Linked DNA regions of Callithrix jacchus. The protein of the gene in region 3 purifies or fractionates together with the protein of the main gene of each other region. This does not show direct contact. Links are inferred from orthologs where the notes say so. Each region holds a gene or a part of one and is shown on either strand. Other genes may lie near its edges. The genes, in order: OTUD4, ARFGEF2 and MYCBP.

Region 1 (3,652 bases), on a different chromosome or scaffold from region 3:
CGCTCAAGTACTTATTGAATATGTGAATGTGTAGATATGTATGCGGCAGTGAATTCAAAGGGCTGATGATGGTGCTTTCATTGTGCTGAATATTATTTAATGTAGAATATTTTTAATAAAAGTGTTGTCAAATCTGCCAATAGATAGTTTTGTTGTAAATAGAGTATTTTTTTTAAACGGGGCCTCAGGTGTATATTGAAAGGAAGTTTTTACATTGTTTTGTAAATTCAGTTACTCTACCCATCCTTATTTCACAGTTTATTTTTGTTTTCTTATTGATTACTGAGCCAGTTAGAATTACTGGTGTCTTTGACATCTATCTTATATACACATATTTACTTACATATACCCTTTTATATATACATATACTTATAATAAAGCTTGTATGAGCTCACTGGAATATAGTTCTGACGTTTTGGAGCATAGTTCTGACTTTGAAGACTTTTAGATGAGGTTAGAAGGTAATTACATGCAAATATCTTTTTCTGCTCCTAATTATGGTAATCTTTCTTTATAGGAGTAAAACTGCTGCTGCTGATGTGAATGGATTTAAACCTTCGTCAGGGGATGAGGTATTTTTTTTTTTAAGTGGTTTTAAATTTAAAGTTTTAAGTTTTTTCTTTTTTCTGATACATTTCAGTCAAATTAGAATCATCTACTAAGAAATTTATTTGGTGACTTATTAATTTTTTCAAGTTTCTTTTATTCATTTGACTTTACTCTTACATGTATCTTAGACAAAAATGTTTTAAAGCACTTATGTGTTGATTGGACTTCCTGACTTTGTTTGTTTAGCAGCTGAAGAACAATGGGAACTCTGCTAGCCTGCCTTTATCTAGAAAGGTTCTTAAGTCACTCAGTCCCGCAGTCTATAGAAATGTAGAATATGAAATTTGGCTGAAGTCTAAACAAGGTAAATTAAAAATCTGCATTTTCCATAAATTTGCTTTTTGTAGCACTTGAAAATAAGTCAACTTTATATTATACTCAATTTTTCTTTTTAACTAGCTCAGCAGAAACGTGATTATTCCATTGCTGCTGGCTTACAATATGAAGTTGGAGACAAATGTCAAGTAAGTGACTTGTGGAAAAGAAGGGATTTTACTTGAAACCTTATTTTTTTAATAAGAACTGAGAAAACAGCTGAGGTGTTAATGTGTTGTTAATTTGGGATTTCAGAATATATTTATTATGTATATACATTTCAGTAGTTTACAAGTATTCAGCTTTTTGATTCATTTGAATACATTGCCAAAATTGTATGTATTCAAAACCGTGGCATCCATCACATGATCTTTAAAAGTAATTCAGCATTTGGTATTGCTTGGTTCAAAGAAGTAACAATACCTTTTCAGATACCTAGGTATTTTTGTTAAAATAGACGGAAATTGATTGAAAATTGACTTTATAGGTCATTTAGTTTTGTTTATGAAAATCATGTTGGGAGATTTCGATACATACATAATGTTTACTGTTGGACTGAGGAAGGAAAGTGAACCACAGAGGAGTTTTTGCCAATTAATTTGGATAAGCAGCTGCCCTGGGTTTGAGTAACTGATTGTTAAAGGAAAAAGTTGGATTAAAATCAGTTTTTATTGTCACAACTGGGAGGGTGCTACTGACATCTAGTGGGTAGAGGCCAAACCTGTGGCCAAACATTCTACAATGTACAGGACAGCCTCCCTCATGTCCTTCTAACAAAGAATACCTAGTCCAAAGTGTCAGTAATGCTTAGGCAGAAGAAACCCTAGGTAAGATAATTTATAGGGTCTCTTTTCTTGTTTTCTCTTCTTTGTTTACAGAAAAATATTGCTATTTCAAAAACAGAAACAAAACCCCCACATATACAGATGATGTTATGTGGAAGTTAATTCTCATCAGAAATTATTTTCATCAAAAAGTGTTGCCTTTAAAAAAAACTACTTTAAAACAGTCATTGGCAAACATTTCTTCTTGACTTATGGAGGAAACACTCATTTACTTTAAGTCATAATATTATTATAATATTATCATATTATGTGATAAATTGGTTTATGTGAAATCATCTGATTAGCCAGGATTTTATTTGGGACATCAACGATGGACTTTATCTTCAGAACCTTTAATAGTTCTGATTCTGGGTATTTAAAGGTGAGGAAGAAGAGAACATGATTCATTCAGGTACTGTGTTATGGGATTGTCTGCTCTAATTGTAGAAGGGAATTGCGGAAGCTTTTACTGCATTGACTGAGAAAACTTGAAAGAGGACAAAGGAGGTTAAATCCAGGGTTTAAAGGCCGTTCTCCCTACCCTCCTCAACAGAGAAGAGAATATGGCTTACACTGTATCACTAAAGTTTTGTTATTTATTTTAAATCAAGCATATTTCATTTGAGGTTGAAATTGCTTTTGGTAAAGAAGGTTTTTGATAAAGTAGATAGTAAAGCACATACTTTAATTTTTTTTCCTTTTTAGAGTATTTTATTTCCATCTCTACTACTTGACCATTTTATTTGGATAACATTTCGTTAAACTTTTAAGAAACTGAGGTGACTGACTCTAAGGTGACTTTTGTTTACTGAAGTTAAGTGTAGTTTAAACTTTTGATTAAAAACCAAGTTCAGAAAAAATTTTTTACTTGAAACTTTTGGAGGAAAAATGTCTGTTGGACTGATAAAGAATGAAATATCAGATTGAGGACTTTGATTTACTACTGAAAGTGGGAGGTTGCTTAAAGCATTGTCCTGTATGTCATACTTGGCAGGTGCACAATTCAATGTGGGCAGATTACCGATAGGAAGAAACCTTAGGCTTATTACTCTTTTATCATGGATTTACCGTTGGGTACTACTAATTGTATGCTAGAGAACAGTTAATGGATCTATTTTTAGGGATTAAAAAAAAAATCACAGTTGCACATTTTTAATATAGGAAAAATGGGAAGATAATAATAGTTGCTCTCATTTGTAGAGTGGTTGCTGTGTGCAAGTTGGTATCCTTTATGTGTATCCTGTGCACTCTCATTCCATCTCCATGAGTTCTGTGATGTAGGTACTATTATTAGCTCCATTTTGCATTATGAGGAAACTGAAGGGAGAGAAAAATAACTTGCTCGAGGTCATATTGCCGGTAAGTGGAAACGCCAGGCCTGGAAGCCTGGGGTGTGTGGGACCACAGCCCTGCCTTCAGAACCAGGACATGTTGCCTCTTTTGTTTAGAGCCTTAACATACTGTGCTCCTACTTTTTGAATAATTTAGAAAATTAGTTTAGAAAAAAATTTAAAGGAACAGAGAAGAAAAGTTTTTTTTCTTTTAGGTAGGATATAGGGACGTCTGAGAGGTTAAGGAGATGGATTTTATTGCAGACCTTTTTGAACTTATACTTTGTTTTTACTGATAAGCTTTATTTTCTGTTTAATCAAAGACTAAATTAAAAAAAAAACTGGCTGGGCGAGGTGGCTCATGCCTGTAATCCCAGCACTTTGGGAAGTTGAGGCAGGCAGATCACTTGAGGTCAGGAGTTCAAGACCAGCCTGGCCAACATGGTGAAACCTTGTCTCTGCTAAAAATACAAAAAACAAAACAAAACAAAACACCTTAGCTGAGGGTGGTGGTACATGCCTGTAATCCCCAGCTACTCGGGAGGTTGCGGCAGGATAATCCCAGGCTTGAAC
Region 2 (3,652 bases), on a different chromosome or scaffold from region 3:
AAATTAAGAGTCTTAGCAAACTACTTACTCATGCCTACTAAGAAGAAATCCATAGCTTTATGATGACAGTTCATTAGGGGCAAAAATGGAGATATGGATTAAAACTGTCTTTAAGAATAGGTAGGCCAAGCACAGTGGCTCACACCTGTAATCCCAGCACTTTGGGAGGCTGAGGCAGGCAGATCACCTGAGGTCGGGAATTCAAGACCAGCCTGACCAACATGGAGAAATCCCATCCCTACTAAAAATGCAAAATTAGCCAGGCGTGGTGGTGCATGCTTGCAATCCAAGCTACTTGGGAGGCTGAGGCAGGAGACTCGCTTAAACCCAGAAGGCAGAGATAATGGTGAGCCAAGGTCGCACAATTGCACTCCAGCCTGGGCAACAAGAGTGAAACTCCATCTCAAAATTAAAAGAAAAAGGAGGGGGTAGGGTTCAAGCTACTTGACTGGATTTGACAAAACAGACTTCCTGTTCATCTGCCTAACTTGCCTACTTTGGTGTATAAAAATATTATTTTCTAAGATCAGTTTTTATTATAATTTCTCATATTTCCAACTCTTCCCTGGAGAAACAAGTAGTTCAGTGCAATATGAATATGTCTGTAAACCTTCTGAAACTTGAAAAGTTTAAGCATATAAATGAAATATAATTCTGAAACTGTTATGAAATTAGGAGGTTGGCAAAATCCCATGCATCACTTTGTAAGTCAGTAAGAAGTTGCACCCCATTTATTTTTAAAAACTCAATCTTCTGTTCCCATTCATTTTACAGTTAGACATTTTCTTTTATACCAAGACCACAAGCTTTGAAGTTAGACCATCTAGACTTCAAAACCCAGCTCTGCCACTTCTCCAGCCATGTAACATTGGCCCAGCTAATGTCTCTCCAAGACACCAATTCATTTTCTCATTTGTAAACTTGAGAAAACAGACCTCCCTGGCAGAATTATTGGAGATGTCAGAATTTATGTGACAATCTTAGCATTCAGCAGACATAATGGAACATGGGACTGATAAGTTTGTAGTCAATTAGAAAGGAGAGAGCTGCTTCTCAAACATGTGGCAGTACATAGAGAGCCTCTCTGCAAGATGTTTCAAAAGTGAGAGGGCATTAGCATGGAATAACTGTTGTGTTAATGTGCAGAAAGCCAGTCAGTGTGCATACAAAAGGTATTAGAGAAGCCCAGTGTGCCAGCCCTGCAGATGTGAGAGTGGCCACTCTAGGGTTGGAGTCACAGTGTTTTCTCTTGGGCTTCTGTTACAGCTGGAACGAGATGCCTATGTTCAGGCTCTTGCTCGCTTCTCCCTGCTCACAGCCAGCTCCAGCATCACAGAAATGAAGCAGAAAAACATCGACACCATTAAGACACTTATCACAGTGGCTCACACTGATGGTAACTACCTTGGGAATTCTTGGCATGAGGTATGTGTCTCTTTGAATTGCCTTTTCTCAGTTAGGATGACTCCTGGCTTCCTTTTATTCATTGTTGATCTCTTTTGGTCAATTCAATTTTTCTTGAAGTCAAGCCTCACTGTACCACATGTATCTGAAAATCACCCTCTCTGGGGCTGTGAAAGGTGGGAGCGAGTTCAGGTGCACCAGCTCACAGTGAGCACCCTTGCACCCAGCAGCCAATGTCCCCCATGAAGTGTACGTCTATTGTTGCAGCTTTCTTTCCATATTAATGCCACTTTTTTAAAAGTCATTATGTACCTCTTGGGAGGTTGGGAGCTCCTATGATCAATGTATAAATTTAAGACAAAGCCAGGAGCCTGATTAGAAATGGTTGGCAGTCGCAATGAACGTTCAGTAGAGTGCTAGTGAGTTTACATTTTTTTTTAAACAGTATTCTAAGATTCTCACCCAAGGATACAATTACTTAGGTATACAGCAATGTATTTAAAAGGATATTTGTTGCAGTTTTAGTTGTTCTAGGGAAAAGGTTGGGTTAAAAAGAGCTAGATGTCCCAACAATATAAGAGATTGCTATTTTTTTTTAAAGTATGGTACAGCATTCCTTAGGTTATGTGGCCATTTAAAATAATGTTGTGGAAAAGAAAAGATAGGCAGATAGTATGTGCTCTCTGATAGAAGTGCACAATACTACCTAAGAAATGTGCTAGCCCCGACTCAAATCTGAATCAGTTCAAGCCTATATTGCCAGTTTACAGAAGAAACAATGAAAAGAGAAGCCTGTTAGATATAAGGGTACAGCTTGCAAACTCTAGGTGTGACAGATCTGCAGAGCAGAAGACCAGGTTTTTCAGCAAATAAATTGCAAGAAAAATAAGTGGAAGGGAGGAGGGTACCTATGGATTAAAAGAGATTTCAGAAAAAAAGATAAAGATGGTATTAAAGACTATTGTGGGAAAACAGTCACAGTAAAATTACAAGTTGTTATAAGACACTGTGAGGCATTGTCTCTTGTGGGAAAATACACAGAGAATGGAGTTTGAAAGGATAGACCAAAGCATTAACATTCTTGTCTGAGTGATGGAATTAATGGAAACTGTTTCGTTCTCGTTTTTCTTCATTTCTAGTATTTTTCTACCATCTGCATGTATTACTGTTTTGTTTAGAGAGAAAATTGTGGAAGAATAGAGATGAGGCTGTGGAGAATGTAAAGGATGGTTTGACATAGAAAGAAAATTACTGTCATCCTTCTTCTTCAGGTGGACCAAGTGGCTCAGAGTAAAGGCTCTAGAGCCTGGCAACTGGGGCCCAATTTGGAACTCCACCTCTCCTGCCTGGATGGCACAGGCAGGTTACTTTGTCACCAAGTCCCACCTTCTTTATCTCTGCAGCCTTCATAGGGTGGTTATGAGAATGAAAAGGGCTCGGGACTGTATTTGGCAAGGAGTAAGAACTCATTAGTGTTACCGGCTGTCTTCTTTGTGGCACCTGGCTTTGCCCCTCTTCACCAGCCTTTCCTCTCTCTGTCACAACTCTGAGTAACCCACGTTAGAAATAACTTAGTTACAGCTGGGCATAGTGGCTCACATCTGTAATCACACTTTTAGGGGTTGAAGCAGAAGGATTGCTTGAGACGAAGAGTTCCAGACCGGCCTGGGCAACATAACAAGACCCCGTATCTTTAAAAAAAAATTGTTTTTTAAATAGCTAGACATGGTGGTGCATGACTGTAGTCCCAGCTGCTTGGGAGGCTGAGGCAGCAGGATTGTTTGAGCACAGGAGTTCAAGGCTGCAGTGAGCTGCGATTGCACCACTGTGCTCCAGCTGGGGCAACTGAGCAAGACCTTGTCTCTAAAAGGAAAAAAAATTTTGAGTTGTGTGCTTTTTAAAATCATTTTCTGCCTTGTAAGGAGTCATAATACCTAGAGAATCAATGAATACTTGCTTTTTCTTCTAAAACTTTTTTTAGGCTGGGAGGTATGACCAATATGAAGTTCCTGCTGCCTGCCAAGTATATGATAGGATCTAGAAATGTTGAAAATTAATTAGCTACCTCTGTGGTTGTCAGAAGCCCTGAGAAATCAGCTTGGAACTAATAAGCTCTTGGCCTTTCAGTATTGGTGACATACTTCGAATTCCAGCTATCCCCAGCTTCTGCAAAAGAAAGGGCATTACTAGGTTACTACTAATAATTTAATAGTATCATGCTGTGTGAAGAAATCAGGGGATGTTTCTC
Region 3 (3,752 bases):
CTTAAAAAAAAGTAAAAACAAATAGAACTGTGTAAAGCACCTATGTTTGAAGCTGAAAGTCAAATTTTTAATAAATTACATCAATACTGTGTTGTTTGATTTTATTTAGGAGCCTGGAAATCTAAGGAGATTGAGAGGTTAAATTCCAGTGGAGTCCGGGTGAGGTGGCCCACACCTGTAATCCCAGCACTTTGGGAGGCTGAGGCAGGTGGATCACCTAAGGCCAGGAGTTCAAGATCAGCCTAGCCCACATGTTGAAACCCCGTTTCTACTAAAAATACCAAAAATTAGCTGGGCATAGTGACACATGCCTGTAATCCCAGCTACCTGGGAGGCTGAGGCAGGAGAATTGCTTGAACCCGGGGGCTGCAGTGAGCCAAGATCATGCCACTGCACTTCACCCTGGGCAACATCTTCTGTGTAATCAGTTACCTCCTAAAACTGTCATTTTTCTGCCTTTTACCATTCAGTCTTTCACTTGCTCCATCCAACCACTCTGGCCTACTTATATGTTCTGGAACTCTTGACATATATTATTTCTTTCAAGTTTTTGCTCAAAAGTTACTAAAGAAAGCCCCGCCCCCCCACACACACTATAAAAATGACACACACATCACCACCTGTCACTTTTTTTTTTTTTTTTTTGAGACAAGGTCTTACTCTGTTGCCCAGTGACACAATCACAACTCACTGCAGCCTTGACCTCCTGGGCGCAGGTGATTCTCTCACCTCAGCCTCCAGAGTAGCTAGACTACAGACAAGCACCATGTCAAGCAATTTTTTTTTTTTTTTTTTTTTTTTTAAAGAGACGGGGTTTTGCCATGTTGCCTAGGCTGGTCTTAAACTCCTGGGCTCAAGAGATCCACCCACCTCAGCCTCCCAAAGTGCTGAGATTACAGGCATGAGCAGTGCCTGGCCTCACCTGTTCCTCTTTATCCCCCTAACTCTGCTATATTTTTATCTGTAACACTTATCACTGGCTGACACTACAATTTATGTATTTGTCTCCCTCAACTAGGATACAAGCTTATGAGAGCAGAGACTTTTATCTTCACCTGCTGTATCTCCAGTGGGCAGAACAAAGGCCTAAGTAAAATGATTAAATAAAAGAAATGAACTTATGGAGTTTTTAGAGGGAGTGACATTCAAAGCATCTGTGACACTTCCAGAGACAACAGTGCACAGTGCTTTCACAGAGCAGTCCCTTAATATTTGTTGAAGTTTATTTGCAAAGAGGTAACCTATTATCTGAACCTGGAATAGGTAGCAATTCAAAATTACTAGCCCATGGAAATTAAAAGCCTGCCTTCTGCTAAGACTCAGGAGTTATGATCCTAGAATTTTCCCCTAAACTTTGCTTCTGTCCAAAGAGCAGTTAACAATTTATTTCCCACACTTCCCAAACTTCCTAGTTTCATTTCACCTAGGTCCTCATCCCTGCCAACAATTCCATTCTACACCCTTGAAAATCCCAGAGTTGAGTGACACACAGCAGGCATTCAAATTACTGCTAAGCTAATGAAGTAAACTGTATCCTACCCTTTGGAATTCTGTTTCCAACACTTTACTCATTTACTTACTTAGATCTTGAAGCAACGAAGGAAGAGATGGTGTTAACAGTAAGCTTTCATTTTTAAAAAGTGAAAACGATATAATCATTTTGATGTGCCCTCGAGCTCTTTAAACTGTAATTCTACTTTATGAAATATACACAAAATAAGAATTGACACAGACTAAGGAATGGGGGTTGAAAAGCCACAGCCAAATTAGCTATGAATCGCCTATTTTGGGGATTAGGTTCACTCAGCTACTTCATAGCCCACTTTCAAATTCGGTCATTTTTCCAGTTGCTCTTTGTTGGATGGAAAATGTTTCTTAACAAGATTATGAGGACTCCACAAAAACTGTAAGGTGGGAGGAATTGGGATCTGAAGGTCTTTGGCAAGCACGTCCACTGCGGCTGCTCGAGGCAAAGCAACGGAAGTTGGAGAGACTTTGCAACAGCTGCAAGAGTTTCACTCCCGGTGCGGAGAAGGGTAGCGTAGTTAGGCTACCCCACCCGGGCGGCGTCCAGCAGCCAGGGCCCTGCCGAACCCCGAGGCCCACCTCGCTGGACCCCGCACGGCTCCCACCTGTTTCCCCTCCTTCCCACGCTACGGCCCGCTGGGGAACGAGGCAATGCCAGGGAGCACGATGAGGGCACAAGGTATCCTCTCCTAGCCCAGGCTCACCCTTGGTCAGTGTGTCCAGCACCCCAGACTTCTCCAAGTACCTCCGGAACTGCTCACGCTTCGAGTCGGCGGCCTGAGGAGACACCGGGGGTCAGTGGCCAGAGCCTGGGGGCCGAGCAGGAAGAAGGCGCTGGGAGTCCGGCAACCCCGCCTCCGCCTCGCTACCTCCGGCCCACCCCGCGCCGAAACCTGCGCGCGCGACCCCACTCCCACCCGGAGCCGACCAGCGGCTTCCTACCGCCCGCATGCCCCCAGCCACGCCGCGCCCCCCTCACTTTGTAATGGGCCATAGTGACAGCGGCAACGGCGTAGCTGGCGCCGGAGACCGCGACTGGCGGGCTGGGAACAGCACTGCTCATGCGCGGAAGGGGCGCGCGCCTGCGCACTTGCGAACCACGAGCCGGAATCGCCGGGGTGTGGCCTGTTTTCATGGCTACCAGGACGCTCTGCATCCTCCGTAGCAGGCTGAGCCAAGGGAGGCTGCGTATGCCCGCCCCTCTGGCTATTGGAAGCGCAACTCTTCCTTTTCCGGTCGCCGTAGCGTTTCGTTTTCTTTGCAAAAGGCGAGATTTTTGTAGCTTTGTCCAGGTGATCGGCCTGGCGTCCGGAGGCAAGGCCCGGGAGCTTTGGGACTATTGCAGGAGGAAGGATATCCGCACGGTAGCGAGCGCATCTTTCTCATCTGGGACCTCGGAAGTTGTGGTGACCCATAGGTGCTAGGCTTCTTGGCTCTCATTCTGAGAAAGTGCTCACAGCTTTGCAATAGCTGAGGAGGGTGTTTAGAATCGTATATTTTGGCCCCAGCTTTTATCTTTAGAGTCTCCTTGAGTCGTGGCTGACTTGATGCGGGCCTCTAAGCAGTAACGAGCTGGCAATAGTTTTTGAGTGTTTACTGTGTGCCAGGCACTGTGGAAAACACAGGTATTTTAAATTTTAATCCTCACAACACCCCTGTAGTGTGGGTACAGTTAATAAAGTGGAGAGGTTAGATGTCCAGTGAGTAGAGCCGAGTCCAATGCGGGCCGTGAATCACGATGCTATCAACTGGTGAAAGAAAGCCACGGATCTTTTAAAGATTTTATTTACTAGGTAGCAACATGTGATTATACTCAAGATACATCAGGATCCAATCCAGAAGGAAACTACGTGATTGTGTTCTAGGGGCAAACAAAATTAACCCAGTGTTCAAAGATAAAGGATTCATAACTAAAAGGTGGAAGTATATAGATCAAGAGCCATTTCCTAAGGCTGTGGTCTCTTCAAAGATAAAACCAGAATAGCCTCAATTTAGCCTCAATTCTGAACATACGATTTTCCCAAAATCAGTTACACACATTCGAAAGGACATCATTAAAAAATCCGGATTTGGCAGCTTTATGTCTTTGAATTTAGAAGTGTTTCTTCACCATCTAAAATCAGCTGTTTTTCCATTGCTGAAATAAGTTTGCAGTTGTCTCTCTTTAACAGCTGGTCTTTAGAGCGGCCCTTAACTATTTTATCTGTGCCCCACCACCACTAGGT

Evidence for each region.
Region 1: the proteins of MYCBP (region 3) and OTUD4 purify together in Homo sapiens (co-immunoprecipitation; 3 studies listed by BioGRID and IntAct, with this or other methods). This does not show direct contact. The link is inferred for Callithrix jacchus from reciprocal best matches to the Homo sapiens genes MYCBP and OTUD4.
Region 2: the proteins of MYCBP (region 3) and ARFGEF2 purify together in Homo sapiens (co-immunoprecipitation; 4 studies listed by BioGRID and IntAct, with this or other methods). This does not show direct contact. The link is inferred for Callithrix jacchus from reciprocal best matches to the Homo sapiens genes MYCBP and ARFGEF2.

Annotation. Positions count from the first base shown.
Region 1 is NC_133504.1:51,842,115-51,845,766, forward strand, and holds part of OTUD4 (OTU domain-containing protein 4), read left to right. Parts: intron 1-517; coding exon 518-572; intron 573-795; coding exon 796-913; intron 914-1,008; coding exon 1,009-1,073; intron 1,074-3,652.
Region 2 is NC_133506.1:44,070,959-44,074,610, forward strand, and holds part of ARFGEF2 (brefeldin A-inhibited guanine nucleotide-exchange protein 2), read left to right. Parts: intron 1-1,266; coding exon 1,267-1,425; intron 1,426-3,652. UniProt on the Homo sapiens protein: Promotes guanine-nucleotide exchange on ARF1 and ARF3 and to a lower extent on ARF5 and ARF6. Promotes the activation of ARF1/ARF5/ARF6 through replacement of GDP with GTP. Involved in the regulation of Golgi vesicular transport.
Region 3 is NC_133508.1:75,429,782-75,433,533, forward strand, and holds the start of MYCBP (C-Myc-binding protein), read right to left. Parts: upstream 2,593-3,752; 5' UTR 2,591-2,592; coding exon 2,507-2,590; exon of another isoform or gene 2,305-2,506; coding exon 2,133-2,304; exon of another isoform or gene 1-2,132. UniProt on the Homo sapiens protein: May control the transcriptional activity of MYC. Stimulates the activation of E box-dependent transcription by MYC.